2 linked regions of the Neurospora crassa OR74A genome follow. The protein of the gene in region 1 purifies or fractionates together with the protein of each later gene. This does not show direct contact. Links are inferred from orthologs where the notes say so. Each region holds a gene or a part of one and is shown on either strand. Other genes may lie near its edges. The genes, in order: prk-2 and NCU06039.

Region 1 (11,541 bases):
TTTGTTTTGGTGGGGCTTTGACGGCGCCTTTCGTGAAGTATTCGGTGATGTCTCTGTCGTTGGCATCTCGTTTCGCATCTTCATGTTCCTTTTGTTTCTTGGCTAAGAGGGAGGAGAACGAAGGTCAGTACCAGAACCAGAGTGCTTTATAAGTTGCTCCCATCGTCGGGTTTCAGCGTCTCGATCTGCTCACACTTGCGCGGCTTGCTGCCGGGTAGGCCTAATTCCTCCTCGCTGTCGCTGTGGTACTGGGGGAGACGGTCCCATTCTTCGCGGCCGTCGTCGGCATAACCCTCGCCATTGTCGTCAACCACGAAATCGTCCTCGTTCAAGCGGTCTCTGACGATTTTCTTGTACTGGTTCTCGTCGACTTCTTCGTAGAGCTCGTCGATCTCGCCGACGTCGTAGGTCTTCTTCTTGCCGGACTGGCGCAGTTCGCGCAGCTCAGCGTACTTGTCTCGCTTGGCTACTCGTCTGGACATTTTGACAGGCCGTTGTGATGTTGCCTTTAGGATTGGAGATTGGATGGTGACGAGACAACAGAGGAGCACCAGGCCAACACTCTGGAGAGAATGTCGACGGGGCCACCGTGATGTGGTAGTGTTGGTGACAAGAGTCGTAAGAGAAATATAGTGGGATTACAGGGTTCAATTGGTCCCCTCCAGTAACAAAAAGAAAGTCGCGTTTAGTTTCGTTACTCGTCGCGTACTTTACTGTAAACTGTAAGCGCGAACCCTTGTCCCCGTCACGGTCGTGTTTAAGAGGTGGGGCAGTTCTGCTGCTTTGGCCTAAGCGGATACCTAAGGAAAGCAACGTAGTGGCCCACGTACATAGTGTACGTACCTTTCAGCAACGGGGCCCCTGTCAGTGTACCTGATGCCGACCCCCGACCCACCGCGTCTCCACAAGTGCAAAAGGCCGCGGCAGGCATTTTTGTAGATCAGTCTCCAAAATTTCGGAATGTCATCCTAACTTTTGGCCATCATTCACGGTCTCCATCTCAGCATCATCCTCCGTCCAGAGTCCAGGGCAGTTGTGCGCCCGCCGCAGCAAAATACCAAATATCGATTTCTTCCCGGGCCATAGCTTTGATACCACATCGCCCAATTCTCAAAGTTGTCTAGAACAACAGGAAATCGTCACAGGAAACTCGACGATCCAGATACCCCACCAACCGACCATTAGCAACACAGGTACCTCGGCCCGTACCTCGCAGAAGAAAAAGATTCAAAACAATCAAGGGCAAACTCGGTTGTCCGCAAACCATGTTTGTGTGCCGGGCTTGTCTGCGGAAAGGCCTGGCTCCTGGAGCTTTGGCTAGGATAAATGCGCCTGCAGTTGGATCTCGTCTGGCCCTTCCAAGGTTAGGCGCACTTACACCAAGCCAGTCCACGACCACCATACGATCCTACCACTTGCCCGCCCTCAAGCCAAAGACTGCCGCCGATCCCTCCGTTACCCTCGATCTCGAAGCGCCGGAAGGGGAAGAAGATGGAGACGGGTCGGAAGGGAAGAGGAAGAAGAGGGACCTGAGCGACGAGCAGCGGAAGAAGCTGGAGCGCAGTGCGGCTTTACAACTAAAGCACTTCAAGGATCCCTTCCACATCGAGAAGCAGGTCAAGTTGACCCTTGACAAAGGAAAATATGAAGAGGCCCTTGTTCTCACCCGCAAGGCCAGCAAGAACGCAAAGGTCCAAGTCTCGTGGAACCATCTGATCGACTACCACATGAAGAACAAGCGTCTGTCTGCCGCCATCAAGATCTACAACGAGATGAAGAAGCGCGCCCAGGTTCCAGATGCCAGGACTTACACCATCATCTTCCGAGGCTGCGCCATGAGCGAGCACCCCAAGCAGGCAGTTGCAGAAGCCGTCAAGATCTACCACAGCTTGCTCAGGAATGAGCGCGTGAAGCCAACCACAATTCATCTTAACGCTGTCCTCGAGACATGTGCCCGCGCCGGCGATTTGGACAGCATGTTCACGACAGTACAAACAGCCAACGAAAGCACGCGCAAGCCCGACAACCTGACCTATACAATCATCTTCAATGCCCTTCGGGCCCAATTCAACCCACGACTGCCACTCGATCGGGATCCCATGCAGCGCGACCAAGAAGATATCAACCGGGAGAAACAAGAGGCCATCAACAGGGGCTTGCAAATATGGGAGGATGTACAGCGTCAATGGAAGAAGGCCAACCTCATGATCGACGAGGAATTGGTTTGTTCCTTTGGAAGGCTCCTGACTTTGGGTACCAAGGAAGACAACGAAAGAGTTTTTGAGCTTCTGTCCTCATCCATGCAGCTCCCGCGATTCCATGCTGGCGAGAAGGCAGCTGCCCAAGTGACCGCTAAGGCCGTAGACATAACCACCACGCCAGTGGTCTCATCTGAAGCAGCCTCTCCAGAAGCCACCGCCTCAGAAGCACCAGAAACGACACCAACGAAAACCACCACATCTGGTTCAACCACACCCACCGTCCAGCCTATCGAAACCAAGCCCAAGTTCGATAAGAAACCCAAATCCGTCACCCACAGTCCCAGCCTCTACGCCAAACCAGGCAACAACACCCTCTCCCTGATCCTCTCCGTCCTCTCCAACACGCGCCGCACCTCGCTCGCCCAAAAGTACTGGGACCTGCTCACCTCCACACCCTACTCCATCAAGCCAGACAAGGACAACTACTTCCGCTACTTGCGCGTCCTCCAAATCGGTCGTGGCTCCGCCGCCACCGCGGCAGTCCTCCAGTCCATGCCTGCCGAGTTCATCACGCCCATGATCCTCAAGACGGCCTTCACGACCTGCATCCGCGACGAACTAAACCCGCACGCCTTTTCTCCGCACGCCTGCACCATTTTCGACGTGATGACCAAGAAGACCCGCTACCCGGACGCCATCGCCATGCGCCTGTTTTTGCAATCCGCCCAAGGAAATTTCCGCCACATCAAGAAGATGGCCGAGACCGACCCCCTGGGGTCCCGCCAGGCAATGGGCAAGCAAATCATACTCGCCCTCGACAAGATGTGGCAGCCGTATCGGATCATGGTCAACCAATACTCGTACCCGATTGGCAGTCGTGTGCAGGCGCAGAGCCCGGAAGACGCGTGGAAGGCTGTGCGGGCGCACATGTCCGAGTGCGTGGTCACCGCTCGCCGGATGATCAGTGCCATGGACAAGGTCATGTTGAATAGCATGTGTGCCGATGACGAAATCCTCAAAGTGCTGAAGCGACGGAGGGTGATTTTGCAGAACATGGTGGAGCGGTATGTGGCCAAGGACGGGGACATGATGGGTAGGTGGAGAGAGAAGATGGTGGAGCGGTATGGGGAGGCGGGCCTGAAGAAGCGAGAAGCGGAGAAGAAGGGGGCTAGTAATGCCGGGGAAGAATATGAGTTTGGCCAGCCGAAGCCTAACGAGTTTGAGAGGAATCTTAACAAGAAGAAGGAGGAGGCGGTTGCTGCGAATGAGAAGAGGAAGGCGGAGCAGGCACAACGGCCCAAAGAGGCAGAAGAGGAGAACGAAGAGGATGAGGAAGAGGAAGAGTGGGAAGATATTACGGAAAGTCGTTATCCCAGAGACAAGACGAGGAGTTTGAGGAACGAGTTGCGGAGGGACGAGAAGAGCAGTTCCAAGTACGGGTACCAGCAAACGAGTAATAACAGCTCGTCATGGTCGAGAGAGAGTCAAGGAGGGAAATGGGATAGGGACAGCCAGCAGGATCGGTGGGGCAGCAGCGGGAGGAAACCCAGCTGGTGATGAATGGTGGATAGGTTCTTGTTAGATAAGGCTGTAAGTTAGTTTGGTTCCGGATGATTGCCCGGCAGATGATCATTTACTGTATATATAAATACACTTTTTTTGATACCTCAATTGGTCTTGTTGGACATATGTGTGTCTCTATGGTTGAATACAGTATGTTCTTCATATTCTCCCCCTTTTCCCTTTTTCTCGTGGGAGTATCTGTCTGAGCTCCATGGGACCAATGGTAAATAACTATACTACAAGAGAAAACCTCGCCGGCGAAAACACACTGAACCGCACAAAGGTAAGTAGGATAACAACATCAACAGTTGGTGCTTGAGAGTTCTATAATAATGCAGGCAGGATGCCTACCCCTGAACTCGCTCCCTTGGAGATTCCTTTTCGAACAAATGCATGAAGCACATATCAGCATCATCAAGAGAAGATACCCTTCGTGCAGCATATCATACTATCGTTACTTCTTTCTATAAATCCTGCTCTGCTGCCATCTGCCTGCTCCCTGACTTTCTTCACTCTGCACCGATTCTCTCTTCCCCCTTCCCCCGTTCGATTCCGCTCGGCAACAAAACCAGCCCTCCCAACAAAAGTGACGATGCGTAATGACAATTTTTTCGGTAAAGAGAAAAAGAAGAAGAGGTATCGTATCTGTGAGTACAAACTGAATGGTACAACAACCACAACGAAAAGCCCGCTTCCCTACCAACCACAATCCACCTTCCCTGGTCCAGCAATTTATGCTCAATGCCATTGACTTTGACCCTGACCTCCACCGTTCCCGCCCATAAACCCTTCCTCCAACGTCCTCTCCTCCAAGTTCCTGATGAAGTCGCGGTTGTTGCCCTGGCCCCGTCCAGACGCCTGAGCACGGCTTCCCCTCCTCGGCATCCTTTGGCTGGGCTGCGAGTCCATTCCCATGAGACCGTCTGGTGGCGGTGGGTAGTAGGCCGGGCTCGGTTGCAGACGAATTGGCTGGGTGGGATCAAGATGGCTCGCGACGCGCTGGATGGACACAGGAATACCACTTTGCTGTTGCTCCATTGTCGAGGACCGTTGCCTCTGGCGCGCCGCCGCCGCCGCCTGTTGCTGGGCGTACAGATTTGACTGGGACACGCCCGCGTAGTTCGCTGGAGGCATCTGTACTTGCGGTACCTGCGGCTGCTGTTGTTGGGGCATTCCTTGTTGGGGGTATGCGCCCTGCTGAGAGCCGTAGGGTGGAGGCGCGCTAGCGTGACTGCTGCTGCCACCAGGAGCGTAAATGTTGTTGTTGGAATACAAGGGCTGAGGTTGCGTGTGGGTCTGCTGGGGATATTGCTGCCCAGTGGCCATCGACCCGTAAGGGTTTTGGGCCTGGTTTGCCGCAATGGCGTTGGCTTGCGCTTGTTGCGCCTTTTGCTTGCTGAATGCCTCGGCCTGTATCTGCTGTTGAGTTCCCGGGGCTGGTGATCTGTTGAGCGAACTTGACTTGAGGTTCATGGGCGGTACAAACGGTCCAGTAAACTTCGATTGGGTGATGAAAGGATGTAGCTTGGCTTGTTGAGGCGACCATCGTTCCAAGGGATTGATCGTCAGCAGACCCCTGACAAAATCGATGAAAGCGATACGGTTGTTCATTTCTAGGACAAGGTCAGCTTTTATAGCCGAACACACCGAATGCGCTCGACTCACCTCTGTCAATCTCTGACTGCTTCATGTTCTTCCTCGGCATCGGGTACGTCTTGATAATCTCGGGTAGTGTGTTGGCTTGGAAGTACTTCTTGCTAGGTTGTTCCTTCGTGCCATGCTCCCGAGAGTATTGCTCCATAGACTTCAGGTGGTAGGTTTTTCTGCCGAACTCATCTTGCCTCTTCTCGAAGAACTCTCCTGCCTGCTTGCCCATCTCGATCATCCAGTTTGGAGGGTTTCCCAGCATCTCGACGATTCGTGACACCTGGTTGTACTCGGAAGAACCGGGGAAGAGGGGAAGACCCAAGAAAAGCTCAACCACAATGCATCCCAAAGACCACATATCAATAGCCGAAGAATAAGGCAAGCCAAGTAACACTTCAGGAGATCGGTAGAATCTGGACTGAATGTACGTATAGACAGTCTGCCGTTCGTCGCAAGCGGATCCGAAATCGATAATTTTGATGATCGGGCTCTCGAGGTTTTTCAGGAGAATGTTCTCGGGTTTCAGGTCGCAATGGATCAGTCTTGCCTTGTTGAGCAGAGAAAGCCCATTCAGCAGCTGCTGCGCAAAGACGCGAACCAGTGTCGTGCTCAAGCCTCGGAACTGGTTTTGCTTGATCAGCTCGTATAGGTTGACACTAAGCAACTCGAATACCAAGCACAAGTGTTGGCGATGGATAAATGTATCCTTTAGTCGCAACAGATGGTGATCGTCGTTTTTGTCGAGCTTTGTATTGAGCTGAGCAGGAGGTTAGCGCGTGTCGCAAACAATCAAGTCAACAATGCTGGTAAACGAACCAAATCCAAAACAGACACTTCCATCATGCTTTGGTTGAAGTAAGCTGTTCGGTTCTTGATGACCTTGACCGCAACAACTTCTTGCGTCTTCAAGTTTTGGCATTTTACGACCTGGCCGAAGGTACCCTGGCCAAGGACATCGAGAATCAGGTAGCGGTTCCTGGTACAAATATGTAAGTGACTGCTTCTCGACTCGTGGTGGGCAGCAACTTACTTATGACCAGCCTCCTCCGAGCCCAGGATGTCATTCACATAGAGGATATAATCGCTGTCCTCGTTGTCATAGCCGTCATTCTTCACTCCCTTGCTAGGCTTGGTAAGGACGCGCCGAGGATTCCTAGACGACTCGTACTTGAAGCCGGGGTTGCATATTCGGTAGGTGGCGGGGAGGTGAACTGTTAGCGCTTGGAGGGGCTACCGTGGTTCGTTAGCAAGCTGCCCAAAGCTATTTCTCTCGCGAACTTGTACATACACTGATAAAGCCGCCTTCCGGGTTCGCTCGTCGATGAGCCGGCTGCTTGTTAATCTTTGGTCGAAGGTCCTGGGGTCCTCGTATTTTCCTAAACTCGGGAACTGGCGTCCTTTCGGGCATGGGCATCTGTTGCGACTGCGAGTTCATGCGCCTTGGCGGCGACTTGGGGTCCATATAAGAGCCGTCCATGGTAGAGCTGATTGCCGAGTTTGGATAGCTGTGGTCGTGTTGAGCGGGTGCGTATGGGTTGATGGGGGGAAGCTGTTGGGATGCTTGACGGCTGGTGTAGTAGGGGCTCTGTTGCTGTTGCTGCTGCGGCGGCTGCTGTTGCTGTTGTGATTGCGGCGGGGCATATTCGTTCGGTCGCGTAGGGGATTGACGTTGGGCGGGGGAGAATTGGCTTCCCTTGGGGTATTGGGAGGCAGGCGAGAGCGCCTCCATGGGCGAGTATCGCTGCGCGGCAGCAGATGGTTCTTGGGACGTACTAAGGCTGGCGGGGCGACCACCGGAGAGAGAGTGATGCGGCCTCAGGGGGTACTTGATGGTAGGGTTCTGGGATGAGTATGGATCGTGGGCATCCTGCATAGCGACGTCGCCGTTGGCGTCGCGCGACTGGGACGACGTCATTGGGGAAATGGAGGAGGACTGTGGTTGCGCGCTTGGGTTCAGACCGGCCTGGTACGGATCATACTTGTATCCGGCCAGCGGCTGCTGCTGCGCCTGGACCTGGCCGTTGCTGGCGTAGTCTCGAGGGGACATGGACATTTGGCCGGAACCGTTGTTGTATCTCCTGGACGAGCCGCTGGCGGCAGAGTCAGAGTACGGTTGCCATTGCTGCTCCATGGCTGCTGGCAGGGCGAAGGCCAGCTCGCGGGACGGGCTCGGGGCTGTTGCTGGGTCTGGTTTGGCAATGAATTCTGTTGCGGTGGCCGGTGGTGTCGTCGGCGCGAGAGGGGGGAAGGAGAGGGAGGGTTTGAAGCTTTCGAAGACGATGGACTCGGGTCGCTGGCTGGCAGGTCACAAGTGTGGGCCTGATGATGGAGGTGCGGACCGCGGACTGCCTGCTTGGGTGGTGCGCACTAGAACTAGAGGTAGTGACTGCACCAGTGGGCAGTGGCTACCTAGGTTCTGCTACCTCTAGTGTACAGTCCAGTACTGGTTTGTTTGTTAGCTCGAGACCTCGTGTCAACTTTCCTAAGCATTTTCATAGCTAACTAATGTATAATCTTACTTTGGGCAGGCCATCTTTCACATTCAAAATGCCAAATTAAATCCAACTAATACCTTTTAATTTATCTATTTAACCTTTAGGACTATTCGAAATAGATTTTGTCTAGTATACTATGTTTATTATTGTACAGTAGGAGTGCCTGGTGTACCAAGCTAACAATCAAACCAGCATTGGACTGTAGTAGCCTCTGTACCTAAAGTAACTACCTCTGGGCTCCACTGGTACTGTTGGGGCAGCTCAAAGTTTAGGTAGCCAGATGAGTGCCCTGTCCTGGGCTGTTGGTGCCGTCGAGAGGACCCGCTCTCTGCTTGCAACAACCTGTGTACGGGGAGGCGGAGAGGGCAAAGCGCAAGGAGCAAAGCGGGCCAAGCGGTGCCAAGGCGCTGCGAATAAAACCTACTCTCTCCTATAGGAATGCCAAGTAATCCCTGGTAGCCAAAATCTTTCCTTTCAGCTCGGGCAGTACAAAGCTGTGGTGGGCTGTCTCGTGGATGTGGATTAGACGCGGTTCGGTTGGACGATTGGGACGGACGGGCAGAACAGAGACGGCCCGGGAAGAGGTTTTGGGGCTGTTGGCGGGCTGTCTTTAGCCAGACCTACGGGCAGGGTTCAGTCGGCCAGGTAGGTCGCAGGTAGGAGGAAGAGACACCAGTTAAATGAGCCTCCGTCGCTTGTTGCTTCTCCAGCTGTAATCAAGAAGAAGGGAAATACAGTACGTCAGAGAAAGCAGCAGGACCTGGAGGAGGAGGACGAGAATGAGGACGAGGCAGTGACCAAGCAGTCACGTCCGGGCAACAAGGCTGTACACCTAGAGGTACACAGAGTACGGCAGGGAAATCGCAGTCATTCGCACCATGTGCAGAAACAACGGGGCTTCCGTCGAGACCGATCCGTAGGCGGTTCCTGTTCCGGTTGCTCGTGATAGTCGGTGGATTTCGTATTTATTCAAGGGTTCCCAACGTTATGGTGAGGTATGCCCAGACAGGGTACACAACACAGGTGGGTTGAATTGGGTGGTGAGAGTCTGACTCCCCGCCCGCCAATGTTGTGTCAAGTGGAGGAGCCCTTGCTCTCCAGTTTTGACAACGACGACGACGACGACGTAGATCTTGAGACTCCCGCGTCGAGAACCTTCAATTTCAGTCTCTAAGGAGTAGGAACTTTAGCCTCTGCCAATAAATGCACCAAATGCAGTGCAGAAAGCCAGCCGGTTCCTAACCTGGCCTGATGATTTCGAATCTGCGCTTCATGTGCACTTAGTTTTGTTTTTGTGTCTTTCCAGGTTGAAGGATGGATCGTTGTGGGCGTGCAGCTGGCTGAGCAGTTCAGCGCAAGCGGTTGTCTAGTGAAACATCTGATATTATGCCCGCAATGTCCGGTATGTTAGGCCGGTACTGCTAATTTGTATAGCCACCAACACCAATACCTTCACCAATACATAACCAACAACCTGGACCTAAAAGGTCTGACCATGAACGCCTTTGGCGCCAACGGTTGGTGTTTGACATGGCTTTTCTCTTCTCGACCGCATCCCTTCTTTGGTTACGTTTCTTCCCTTACTCCCTTTGCAGATCTCGGGTCCTAATATATTATGAAGCTTCATGATTTTCAAGTTGGTGGTAATCGGACAAAACTCTTGGCGTACGTTTTCGTCGTCCGGTTGGAGCTGCAAACAACCACCGGAGATCATTCATGATGCCCGTCATTGAGACACATCCAGATAAAGTGGGGAGTACTAAAAGGACCTTGAGATTGAACGAAGAGTGCCTGCCCAGTCTCCAGCAGGTGGCGTTTCGACAGGCCACGCACGCTGCAAGCAGCCAGGGCAGCCCATCTCGCTGCCCATCCAGGCGAAGCGGTCATAAAAAAAAAAAAAAAAACCCGAACTGACCTGAAGCAACATCATCAATCGATCCCAGCTTGAACGTCAAGCTGCAACAACAACAACAACAACACCACACAACTCCGCACCACCAGTACTCAATACGAAGAAAGAAAAGAGGCAGCTTTCTAACGAACCTATTTTGAAATGCCTTTTTGACCGATATGATAGTTGAGAGTCGAATCAAAATCCACCCACCTACCTTGCAACTGATCGCATCGATGTGTTGGGTTATTTTACGAGGCCATCCCCATCCATATCCACATCCTGTTCAGGCGATCAGCAACCATAATCCAGGCAGTCCCTCGTTCAGCGCCTATGCTCCTTCCTCCTCACCTTTCACCCTCACCACGATCCACGACCCCGCGGTATTCCATATGTACTGCTAAAAGGAGATTACATACGCAGTGACAGGGGGTTGAGTGATTGCTTGTTTTAGGTTGGCTTGAGGACCTGGGGGATGCAAACCCACCTTTGTCGGACTTATTCCTCGTATGTATGTAGTGTAAAATTTCCCTGGCCACGACCACGACGAAAGATGACGGTACATATGTATCATCGTCGTCGGTGGGAGATCATATCTTTCTTGACTGCTTCAATGCTTCCTTGCATTCACTACTTACTCGGACAAACAAACAAACCGTGTCCAGATACCATTGCTTTACTTTACTTTGCTTTCCATCCGTCCCTTTTTCCCATCCACGCACTCCATTATCTGTCCCAATTCTAAACACACCGACGGCCATCACCACCAACTGCAGCAAGCTACTAATACCATACACCATCAGGAAAGATGAAAAAAAAAATAAAAAAATGGCGGATATCAGAGGGTCGTCAGTGACAGCGTGGACCAATGACTCTTTCCAAACGCCTGCACCGCTTTTGGAAACGAGCTGACAACGGCTGGGAGTCTGACTGAGTCTAGTCCTAGGTACTATGTAGCTACATAATCTGACTTCCAATATCCTCTCTGCCTCTACCTCTGGCCTCTCCGACCAGACCGTCGAGCCTTGGGGATGTCGCGACTTTCAGTGCATGATATCCATCCTGGTCCGTGTGTCTCGTTTCACACGCATCACCAATTTGTATCAACCACCATATGGTGAAGACAAAATAATATTATGTACTCGGACCAGCCAACATACATATCCCAGTCAGAGTCCCTTGACATTTTTGGGGGGGGGGGGGGGGGGGGGGGGATTTGTTTTTTACCATTTACTCCCGTCAAATTGGGGATTTCGCGCAGTGCGTGTAACACGGAGTAAGTTGCAACCTACCATAGTACTAGCAAGGCATGTGAGATCAGCATGGGTGCGGGTGGTGGTTTGGTTCGTTCGGTTCATGGGATCGATTGGGATTGGGCATCAACTTGTTGCTGTCCAAAAGCCCAGGGATGATGATTTGGGATGTGACATTGTTCACCTGTGACGAGACAACCCTAACCCTGATAAGCGCTCATATGTAATTGCATCCCAATCGCTCTCAAGGCTGGATGTAAGCGCCCTCGTTCCTGGATAAGATTGTTGGTTGAAACCTTGGACATTACATTACACCTTGGGTATATTCTCACTACGTAGCCGAAGCGTCTTGACAACTCCTTTGAATTTGATTCCCAGGTAATTCCTGTATAGAACCATGCCAAAAGGACTCTGGCCGATGTCTTTTCGAATTATCGTATTCCCTATCACAGTTTTGCAACGGCCTTTCATGATTATCAGAAGTGGTATCG
Region 2 (11,673 bases), on another chromosome or scaffold:
AATGTCTGTTCATAAATGCTTTGAGCCGTGCTTGTGTTCTGATGTGACCCTTTGTACGAGGGTAACGAGACCACTCTACATCCTTGATCGCGAGCGTTTGATTATTGGAGTGACGGGTTAATATCTGTTGAGGCGATCGCGCATGGCCTAGAGCGGTGTGTCCGTCCTGTTGCGTACTTTGACGACTGGGCTAGGGCCATCAAAAATCAATAGGTATGTGCGTGAACATGCCAAATACAAGTTGAGAGGGTCGAAGCTGAATTGTTACGCCGAGGACATGAAGATGGCAGCAATGACGAAAAGATAGGGTCTCGGTCGCTCTTGGCTCATCCTTGCAGTGGTCTCGGTCTTTTTCTTCAACCTGCGCAAGTCACTGCAATTTTCCAGCTGACTATGAGCGAGTGAAAGGAAGACATATGATGTCGATGAGCTTAGAAATGGAGCGTTGGTCAGAGGGAAGGTTGACAAAGCAAAGCACAAGCCACACCTCATGAACTGGAAGACAGTAACTACTAATTCGCCAAACTCGGATATCCCTTCTGGGCTTCTTAAGGAGCATCGTATACCTTTTTATGCCTTGTCGTAACGCCAGGCTATCTGCGCGAGGCAAGCCTGCCATGAGGTTGGCACAAAATTGACACAACGGATTTTGGTACGAGTTCGAGTGTATCAGACAAACGCAGGATCCGGTGAAGTTGCACCTGGTGAGCGACGACTTCCTTTTGCACGCCACCGGCGGCTTCTTGAGAAACCTTACTGATGAACCGCAGCTGCCACGCGATGCCGCCAGGTTTGGCTTCGAACTGAAAGGTGCTCCCCAATACTAACGGCTGCGTCAGGATTAGGAACAGAATGTCGGGGGTGAGCTGAAGGGCTGCACCATGGACTTCGCTTACACGTCTCTGTCACGGGGGAAAGAAAATCATATTATTAAATATCCTAATACCTCGTCGTTTATAACCAAGGTGCTTCGACTTTGCCAAATCCCCATTCCTCGTCTACTCTTTACCCTTCTTATTGTTCTTGTTAATCACTACCGTAGTCCTCATCTCAGAACCCCGGGCCAGAAGAAGGACTACCGTCGGCAGCCAAATATACAAGTCATTCTTGCAATTTTAGGAGAATCAATCGAAATGATAGAGGGAACTTTTGCTGTCAACGTTCATGACTCTCACCTCGGCCTTTTACGCCTCTGCCTCAGGGCCATTGGCTGTTCCTTTGCGCTTCCTGTCGCCTTGGCTGTGCTCTGCAAGAAGGCTTTGTTCGCATCACTGGAGATGATCTTCCATGTTCTTATCCGACTCCACTGCCTCTTTTCTGCCCGAGCCAGTCAACACCTGGCCATTGAGATTCAAAAGCAGGTTCATCAGTATGCTAGCCCGAAGAGCTCTACAGACAGCCTTCCTTCGCTCATCTCACCCGGTTCGTTGACATACAGCTCACACATCGGCGACCTTGACCTCGATCCCAACAACGACGACGACAATGAGCTCCCTTCGCTTCCTTATATCCCTCCGACACCCGAGGATACCAAGCGATGGGTCGAACTCTCTGCTGAAGCCCGTCACAGGGTAGCAAATGTGCAGCATGACGGTTTGAACTGGATGTCATGGAGTCCGCCCCCGAGTCCCCGTTTGCCGTCGCGTGATCTGCCAAAGGGTATCCCGGAGTGGAGGGAGGAATGGAGCGACTTCGACTTGCCTCCGAATCCTCTAGACATCCCGACGTCGGAGAGATTGAGACGATGGTGGGGTGAAGCTACTGAAGAGGACCGCGCCCGGATCAATCGTATCAGCACTGACGGGTTGAACTGGCGGACGTGGGACCCTCCTTCCCAACCCTCCTGTGACGGAGAGCCAGTCGTTTGGTCTGGGATTGGCCCTTGGGTTTCTGGAAATGGCGACGATGGCCTTCCATACGGAACATGTGCGACTGGTAACATCGAACAGACGTTGCACAAGCCGACAGTGGACCGGCAGTCACATGCACAACGACACCCTCAGAATGGATTGCCATCTTGGGAAGAGCTCCCATCCTCGCATGAAGTGCTTGAGTTTGCCGTTTCGGATACAGTTCACGCAAACTTGTTGCTGGTTGTTGCACTCACCTCGGCAGCAGAGCAATCTCAGGACGACAGTAAGGCAAGTTTTTGTCAAGCATCGTACAAAGAAATAGAGCGGATGTCACACAAGGGATGACCTGGATATATACGGATGGGCCATGTTGGTTTTTGTGGGCTCCTCGTCTGGTTGGTGAATTGACGACGGTTTCGGTTTTTGGATTGGATCAACATGGACGTGAATTTTTAGACCTCTCTTCGAAGCGAAACTTGGGACAGGTCACGTAAACGTGAGTATTACTCGTGCTTGGTTTGCACAGCAAGGCGCTCATTGCCGTGAGGAGATATTGCTAACGTATCGCTACGTCTTTAGGAACGACAAATTGACTTCGACTCCCATCTATGTGGCTGTTGGACGTGGAATGTTGATACCGGCTTGGAATATGCTGCATTGAAATTTGATGATGTTTGGCTGCCTCGAGCATTGCGAGACGATTTCAGGCGCATGACAATGACTTTACACGACTGTCGCAGCGTGCATGCTTCAAGGCTACGGCCTGCAGAGAAAAACGTCACAAGAGAAGCGAATTAGTATCATTGTATATATTTTCTTAACGTGACATAGGGGCCTACATCAGTCTAGACCACAAAACCACTGTTTTTCAGGAGTCGATATCTCCACAAACACAATATTGGCCTATGATTTCCCGTCGGAAGATGTGGATGGCTCAAGATCTGGTCTTTCGTCTTTATGGTTTTTATCTTTAGGCGAGTGATACCCAAATGCGTCGGTCTGGAATCTCTTCCGTTCAGACGGCTTGTCCTTCGTGAGCGGTGCGGAACGAACAACGGGTTTACTCATGATAACATAATCCGGCATCACTACCTTCCCTGACCGGAACTTTCTTGGTCCAGGTGAGATGTCATCCGTCCCAAACCCGTGCCTTTTGTAAAAGCCAAGGGCGCGTTTGTTGGATAGGAAACATGTCAACATCACTTTTGTGATCGGAGGCAGGTTAGTGGCCACAGTCACATGGAATCCCATCAACAGTGAACCGAGTCCGGAGCTGTGGCAGAGAAGTAGTCAGTGAGAGAACTGGTTAGTGTAGAATTACATACATGGCTATTTGGCCATATTTGCACACGATGGACCATGACACGGCGCGTGATGGAGGAATGAAAATTTTAATTATTATCGTTTTTTTGGCTTCTTACCCCTGTAACTCCGGCTTGAGATGAATTTCGTAGCAGTAGACGACCGGCTGACCTTCTTCATAGGTAGGCATCAAGGACGTGAAAGCACGTATAGAACCGGACGAGCCGTCTTTGACCAGGACGTAACGAAGATCGGGCGATCTCATTTCTTCCATCTTCTTCCTGGGTTGCCATTTATCTTTGGAGTTTTGATAGTCATCGTAGCTAGTCTCCTTGATCAGGTCGAAGCATGCTTTGAGTTCCTCCTCGCTGAGCTTCCCGGACTGGACCAAGCTAATGGTGTACTTGGTGCCGGTTTTGGGATGCGACCATTCGGTGGTCCAGGGTTTTGGTGGTAGTTGCGCTGGCGATGAGGGGTGTAGTGTTGAGGATGTTACGGATGGTTGGAGATAGTTGGCGATGAACTCTTTGTCTGTTTGGCGATTTGCCCTCTCGATGGGGCTCGTCGGCGCCCGTTGGCGTTTTGGTGCCATTGGCGTATGGGTGGTGGGATTGGATGAAGTCTGATGTCGCGTTGAAGTTGAGGTTGACGGCGTGGAACCCGAATGCTTACACAGTAGTTTCTATAGCAAGCAGTTGTAAATGACGGAAATCCTTTGCATCCTCGATTTCCACTTCCCGTCCAGGACCGCAGCACCACATAAAGCAACCGATATCAACATACAAAGGGGAGGTTAAAGCCACTTCTATTCTACGTGATGCCTCATCACACAAAGGTACTTTGTATCTGCTGCAGGGCCTTTCCTATTGAAGCATAGTGTGCATAAGTATCTTACCTCAACTTTGCTACATACCACACACTTCGATGCCAAGCCTGATCTGCTTGCTCCCTTCACTCATCCAAAGGAGTATTCTAATCAGCAAAGCTCGGGGTATGAATCAACCAATCTCATCACAGACACAAACTTCACCCTCATAACACCCCATTTCCATGAACCACTCAGCACCACTTGTACGGTGCTTGCCAGCTCTGCGGCTTTGCATTCGGGAATATGCAAGCCGCCCGCGGCCTCGTCTGGGGAACACACTGAGTTTGGAACATGTAAGTCGCTCCCACTCATCTCGTAATGAGGATGAGTTTTCCAATCTACCGTCTCTACTTAGTTTCTCCAAAGAGCCCGAGTTTTGGCCTTGTACCGCACCATCATGCGGGCGACCCGCCGGATTCCGGACCCGGCCACGCGTGCCGAGACGAGAAGGATGGCCCGCGCCGAGTTTGAGAGAAACCGCCATGTCACTGACCTTGTTCGTATTCCTCCTTGTCCGATTTCTCAATTTTGCTTGCGTCCCTTTTGCTACTGACACTGGCCTGTCTCACTCACAAGGACCACATTCGCTATCTGCTCTCGACAGGCAAGACAGAATGGGAAAATATGGAGAGGTATATTGATGGTCTGTAACTGTCGAAGAGACCATATCTCGCCTCGGCCTTCACCCACCGAAGAACCGTTCTCTTGTTCATGGGTCGCATTCCTTGTCATTTGGCTGAGGCCGTACGCGCTGGTATCATCCACACGACCAGACCGTTTCTGGGTTCGGTTTATCCCAATCTCGTTGCTGAATCGTCATGACGGGCCATCCCTTATGCTGGGCGACAAGAAAAAAAGGCCCGTTAAATGCCAGGTCTGATATACACGTCTCCGTATCGGCATGCGAGTCGGCGCTCGTTGTTCAAGATGGTCCTTTCGCCTAACGTATCGTACAGCCCAATCCTTCTATGTAGACCCGAAAATAAAACCACAAGACCAAGACCGTTGTTGAGCGCTCGTTGTACACACCATGTGCCACTCCACTGTCGATATCGTCATCGGCATGTTCACCGGTAGCCCTGGCGCTGCTTGTGTCTGGGATTCGCAGGGCAAATGATGTAGAGGTAGCCGTTTTGCCTCTTGTTGGCCTTGCGACGCACGACCTGTATAGATGTCGGGTTGACGGATCAGTCCGGGTCCCTACCTAAAACCTCCACACTCGCTGGCTTCCCAAGATATCTGAAGGGCCAGATATAAATATACATATATATATGCTGTGCTTCTCACCTTGCAATGCTCGCATCGCTTCTTGATAGCGGAGTGAACCTTCATGCCCCTCGATTGCTGCTTCGACTGCAGGCCGTTCTTGGCGCTTTGGCACACGGCGACGGGTCTGTTATGGGAGCACATGGGCGTGCAAATGTGGCGGGAGAGGAGGCCCTGAGAGAGGCATCGTGTCTGGTGTGTCGAGACAACGGTCTTGGTGGTGTTGACGGCAGTCGCGCGAGGAGCGGCGAGGGAAAGCGCGCGCATCGAGGATGCGAGCGACCGGAAGAGGTTCGACATGGTGACTGGTTGGTAATGTCGAGAGCGGTAGCCTGTAGTCGAAAGTAAGCCTTCCTGCCTGCCCGCCGTTGTTAGGTTGAATATTGACGCCGTCGAGGTGCTCGTCGCTGGGGTCGCTGGGGCGCGCGAAATCGAATTGTCTGCCGGCCCGTCAATCGACAGTGTGGGGTTTGATCAAGCAACGTTATGCGGCTTTCGTTCCGTCGGCTGCTTAAAGCGTATAAATTCCTAAACGCTTGCACCGTAAGATCTTATGTCTCTTTCGATGCAACTAAACGGGCTAAAACACACCAAAACTACCGCCAAGTACTTTCGATATGCACAGCTTACTTGCTAGTACTTGAAGTAGAGGACCAATTGAAGAGAGTTGCAGTTATTGAGTAGCTAAGCTATGTCTACACTAGTACCTTGTCCCCCGCAACCTTCACAGGGGGGCCGCTCTTCTTGACGCTGGGAGCCCGCTGTAAACCCGCCATTGATGTCGTCTCTCCAAAGTGGAAGTACACCCAACCTTCCCATCTCGTCTTCCTCCCACCTTCTTCTGCCACTTTCACGGTGACGAAACAAGCCGACAGCGAGGTGATTGTCACGGAGCTGCCGATACGGACCAGAACTGAGGCTTACCTACCTACCTCTCTCCGCCCTTCGGATATCCATACTCGTTGTGTCACTCTCTTGTGCTCTCGGTAACATCCCCGTCCTCGTCAGGCGCCCGTTCGGCTCGCACCATCACCTTCAACACCACCACCACACCGTAAACCAATTCCACCATCTCGGCGACCTTGGAAACAGCGCCCTTAAGCTCGCCCCGCCGCCCGCTTCTGCGCCATATCTTACCTATACATGAACAAGCCTCCAGCAATACCAGTCCATAACCTAATATCAAGCAGCGCCGCGCCCTGGCACTTCCCTTCTTGCCCTTTAGTCGCATCCCGCCGCTAGCGTCCACTCGAGCCAACGACCTAGGCGCCTCGCCTCCCGAACACAATCCTCAAGACCGCGACTCTTCAAGATCCTTCGTCCAAGATCTTCGTGTTGCCGACTGGCATTGGCACAATGAACCAGCAGTCACAGCAATATCAGCCGGCGCGCCGACCGAGTGCCTATGCCTCCCACGGCGACGAGCTTCACATGTCGGCACATCAGGCCCACTTGTCGTCGCCCCGCGAGTACGCGTCCTCCGGCGCACCACATATCAAGCTCGAGCAGATGCCCTCGAGCCCCCCCAACATGCAGAGCTATCAAAGCGCTGGTGCCGTACCCAATGTTCTGCAGCCCGGAGGCATGTCGTCTCGTCCGCCCGTCATGCAGTCCAACACGGCTCCCACTCTCCCCACGATGCAGCAGTCGGCCGACTACAAGTCCCACGGCTATGAGCGCTCCAGCCCTGCTACCCTGGCCTCAAATTCCTATGACGGCGGCAACTCGCCCTATTCCGCCTACAACCCGACGCCTCCAGGTGGCAGCTCTTCGTCGCAATACATGTCTCCCGCAAGCACCAACAAGTACGCGGCCGCTTCGTCATCTCGCAACGTCTCCAACACCCCGCTGGGACTGTCAGATATCCGGCCTCGGGCCGATTCCACCCTCTCTGATGGCATGCTGCCCGGTAGCCAGGCCTACGAATTGGCCAATCCCCAGTCTCGCACCAGCAACTACATGGCCCCTTGGGCTACGTACTCGTTCGACTGGTGTAAGTGGCGTCCCAGCGCAAACAGTGCCGGGAAATTGGCCATTGGCAGCTACTTGGAGGATGGCCACAACTATATCCAGATCTTGGAGGCCAATTTGACGCAGACACCACCCGATGTATACGTCCCGGGCACCTCCAAGTACTCCATGGACTTCACCCGCACCGCCGAGGCCACACACTCATACCCCGTAACGCGCCTGTTGTGGGAACCTCCTTCATCCCAGAAACAATCCACAGACCTGCTGGCTACCTCAGGGGACCATTTGCGGCTGTGGTCACTTCCAGCTGACCCCGTGGTCCCCACCAGTGGCTCTTCGATCACTTCGAGAAGCGGCCGTGACGCCCCCATCACCAAGCTTACTCCCCTAGCCCTCTTGTCCAACTCCAAGACGCCCGATCATACAGCTCCTCTGACCTCGCTCGACTGGAATACCGTTCAGCCTAGCTTAATCATCACATCGAGTATCGACACTACGTGTACCATCTGGGATATCCCATCGTTGACGGCCAAGACTCAGCTTATCGCCCACGATAAGGAGGTGTACGACGTTCGCTTCTGCGCAAACAGTGTAGATGTGTTTGTAAGCTGTGGCCAGGACGGCAGTGTGCGCATGTTCGATCTCCGGAGCCTTGAGCACAGTACTATCATTTACGAGCCCACAGGCAAGGAAGAGCGTGGTAAGTGTCACTTGTCGGCTTTCCGTTGGTCCCTATCTTTACAACAAACTGACCCATATATTTAGATGCCAATGGCGGCCGGATCAGTCCTACGCTGGCTCAGCAAACCATGTCGCACCCCCCACCCCTCCTGCGACTGGCCACGTCTCCGCATGACCAACATCTACTCGCAACTTTTGCGATGGATTCCAATGTAATCAGGATACTCGACGTTCGCCAACCAGGGCAGGCGTTGCTGGAGCTTCGGGGCCATGGGGGTTCCTTAAACTGCATTGAGTGGTCGCCCACCCGGAGAGGCACGCTTGCTTCGGGTGGTGACGACTGCCAGGTGCTCATTTGGGACTTGCTCAACCAGCCCTCCGGGTTGACCCCGGCAGGCCAGCCTGATAACGTGAGGAGTCCTGTGGCTAGTTGGCAGTGTGACTACGAGGTCGGGAACCTTGGATGGGTTCCTCCAATGGGCAATGGCGAGTATGGCGATTGGTTGGGAGTCAGCGCAGGGCGCGGTGTTTGGGGTGTTCGGTTCTAGTACGCCGATGTAAATCGAGATGGTTCCCGCTCGCGAGAACAGATACCAACCCAGGGTAGAAGGATGGGATGGGTGCATAAAATTCTTTGCGATGGAGAGCACTGTTAATCACGTTTCATACAGCCAGGCGTTTTGTTTTTCCGGGGAGGGGAAGGAAGGGGTGGGTGGGTGGGTGGGTGGAATATCCTATCGCGTAGAAGGTCATACTCGAAAAGGCACAATAAAACAGCGATTCGGCCTAGTCCGACTGCTCGTTATCACTCGACATTATCACTCGATACTGGAAGCGCCACATGAAACTAGTAAGGATTCTGTCATTCACCTCTTCATGGAACATTGGCTGGTACAGAGGAAAAAATAAAGGGAAAAAAAAACCGACAATGACCAGGAACGTGAGAGGTGTGAAAGCCACGCCATATTTAGCTACTCACCTACATCATTCCAGGGCATATTTCACGCATTGCGGAGTTTCTTACTCAGTGGATTTATTCGAGACACAAGCCACACTGGTGAATTTGTACGGAGCAGCCCCAAGGAAAATCCGTGTGCTTCTCCTGGAAACTTAATATGGGCTGAAGTTGTTCAACGGCCGGATATTCCCAATCTTCAGCAGCAGTATTCGCCCGGCAAGAATGGTCATCAAGGGTTAGACTTATGTACGTCGAGCCTTCTCTGCTTGAGGAAGACAGCCAGCACAAGTGCAGTGACCGAGCAGGCAAACGAGAACCCTAAGCAATGGTAACAGTGATCAGCAGTCCGTGCCGTAGAGACTTGCCAGAAAGAGACGCGAGAAAGGGAGTGAAGAGGGAGACTGACCGTGACTCCACCATAGACCGTCAATATACGACTGGACAACAGCATCCCTGACCTTATCGATTGCGCCGTCGATAAAGTCAACATCAGAAACCGCCTTCGATATGACCTATGGCTCCAAGTTAGCCTTGAGCCATTCCGCACAGCGAAAGACATAGCGACAAGCACAGGGTCAGGGCACAAACCTTGGCTACCTCAACGTTGTCATATCCTAGCTTCAACAGCCGAATCTCAAGGTTTCTTCGAAGCACGGTCTGCATAATCGTGTTCGCAGCCGGCAACCCAATCGTCATCCATACCGTTTGCATTAAATACATGAACGACACAGCAGGCGCCATGTGAGCCGGGTCAATGACCACCTGAAGCGAAATGAACAGCGCGCTGTTCGTGACCCCCATGCCAAAGCCTCCGGGGAAGATATACAGCGATTCGAACCAAGAGTTGGTGTTGCCGTGCCACCTCAGCATTAGGAGAAGATAGCCGATGGAGGAGCAGGTCACGGCCCAAATGACGAGGGACTTGTACCGTCCTGAGCGCTTGATGGCGGAACCGGAGATGATGCCGCCGATAGCGTTGCCCATAACGGCAGGGACGAGGTGCGCGCCCGCGACGGTGGCGGACGGCCGCGGCGTGGATGTCACTTGGAAGTAGAGGGGGACAGTGAACATGAGTCCCAACTGGGCGGCGGTTTGGAGTCCCAGGATCAAGAACGAAAGGATGGCGTCTTTGCTGTGGAAAATCTCCAGCGGCAGGATTGGCTCGGCCTGTCGCCTTTCTACTGCAATGAACAAGACGAGAAGGATAACGCTGGCACCGAGATAGACGAAAATGAGCGGGTGGGACCAGGGGATCTTGACGCCGCCGAGCTCTATGGGGAGAAGCAGGGCCAGCACAAGGGCCGCGAAAATGAACGAGCCCTTGAAGTCGATACGGCTGAACTTGCTCTTCAACTGGGTGGTGTCATCTGTCTCGTCTAGCGTGCCGGTGTGGCTGGGTAAATATGCTGAGCAAAGAATGATGGCGAGGGTTATGAGTGGCACTTGAACGCGGAACGACCTGAGCGTACTGGCGTCAGCTGGTTTCTACTATACTCGGCAGCAGAAGAGGCTTACCATCGCCATCCGACGACATCTGCCAGGCAACCTCCTAAAGATCCGCCAATGCTTCGGCCAAGGGTAGCTACGAGATTGACATACGCTCTCCACTGAGCAACTTCTCGCAGAGGAAGCAGATCTAAGGGGCAACTGGCTGTTAGTCGTCGCTGCAAACACTCTATCAGTTCATGTCAAAGCCATGCTTACCTGTGATGAGAACGGACACGAGTGCGGACATGCCAGAGGCTCCAGCACCGGATACAATTCGGCCCAGGACGACCTGCGACATTGTCTGGCCCATACCGACAATCGCACAGCCAACCATGAACATGGTATACGCGATTATCACCATCCTCTTGCGCCCATAGATGTCACTTAACTTGCCGTACTGTCCAGAGGCGGAGTAGTCAGCATACTCCCCCAAGGCTGTGTCATTCGATGATATTCCTCACCAAAGTCTGCGTGGCCGCCCCAGCTAGAGAGAAACTGATAATGAGCCAGCTAGAGTCTTTTAAGGCCTTGAACTCGGACGCAATAATTGCATGTGTTGCCATGAGAATGGACGTATCTGTCTGTGCGACGAAGATGCCTAACAGCATGACAGATATGATCTTGATGACATTCACGTGGGCGCTCTGCTTCAACGACTCGGTTTCGTCGCTTCCTAGACTCTGTTCCTCATCTCCCTCGGGAACTGGCTTGATAAATCGATTATAGATACCTTCCTCAGAAATACTGCGATAGGCGTGATAGAGGTAGTCGGAGCTGGGCTGCGCAGTGTCCCTCAAAAGAGGCTCTCGTTCTGTTTCTAAAGACGGCTGGTCCCCATGGCGTTGAACCATCTTTGCCAGTTCTTAAGCAAGAGCGTTTCAGGCCCGATGGGAATTCTGGGCCAATATAAGTACTTGTCCCCTCAAGATATCATTATGGAACATACCTTGAGATCATGGAATGCGCAAGATCACCTAAATCTAAACTCGAACTCGGAAACGCGTTCGAGGAAATACTCCCTTTTCTAAGAACTACCTGAGTGTCATCCCCACCTCTAGAGATTCATTCCGAACACGGAGGCCGACAACTCCAGAATCAGCTTATCCCCGAGATACCCTGCGGTACATGAAAGGCCGAGATAATCACGACATAAGTGTCTGGATTTCGTTAGACGGGCCCTTGTATTGCGAACAAGATGCTACCTTCCCACAAAATCGGTTGCAGAAACGACAAACATGAGCAAATGAGCATAGAGATAAATCGCACCATCTCGTAGTTTGACATTG

What was found.
Region 2: the proteins of prk-2 (region 1) and NCU06039 purify together in Saccharomyces cerevisiae (affinity purification with mass spectrometry; 3 studies listed by BioGRID). This does not show direct contact. The link is inferred for Neurospora crassa OR74A from reciprocal best matches to the Saccharomyces cerevisiae genes YAK1 and YPL247C.

The regions. Positions count from the first base shown.
Region 1 is NC_026503.1:1,184,565-1,196,105, forward strand, and holds prk-2 (protein kinase Yak1), read right to left. Parts: upstream 7,805-11,541; 5' UTR 7,543-7,804; coding exon 6,700-7,542; intron 6,642-6,699; coding exon 6,442-6,641; intron 6,388-6,441; coding exon 6,228-6,387; intron 6,169-6,227; coding exon 5,430-6,168; intron 5,378-5,429; coding exon 4,503-5,377; 3' UTR 4,075-4,502; downstream 1-4,074. Other genes in the region: NCU07870 (DNA polymerase alpha catalytic subunit), read right to left, coding at 1-102, 194-482; NCU07871 (hypothetical protein), read left to right, coding at 1,266-3,758. UniProt on the Saccharomyces cerevisiae protein: Negative regulator of the cell cycle acting downstream of the cAMP-dependent protein kinase. Part of a glucose-sensing system involved in growth control in response to glucose availability. Phosphorylates POP2.
Region 2 is NC_026507.1:2,007,741-2,019,413, reverse strand, and holds NCU06039 (WD repeat protein), read left to right. Parts: upstream 1-6,041; 5' UTR 6,042-6,645; coding exon 6,646-7,960; intron 7,961-8,025; coding exon 8,026-8,489; 3' UTR 8,490-8,748; downstream 8,749-11,673. Other genes in the region: NCU17225 (hypothetical protein), read left to right, coding at 1,134-2,136, 2,310-2,347; NCU06037 (hypothetical protein), read right to left, coding at 2,757-3,126, 3,275-3,747; NCU17224 (hypothetical protein), read left to right, coding at 4,206-4,664; NCU06038 (ribosomal protein L36), read right to left, coding at 5,091-5,186, 5,311-5,589; NCU06040 (hypothetical protein), read right to left, coding at 9,425-10,358, 10,415-10,535, 10,604-10,784, 10,849-11,238.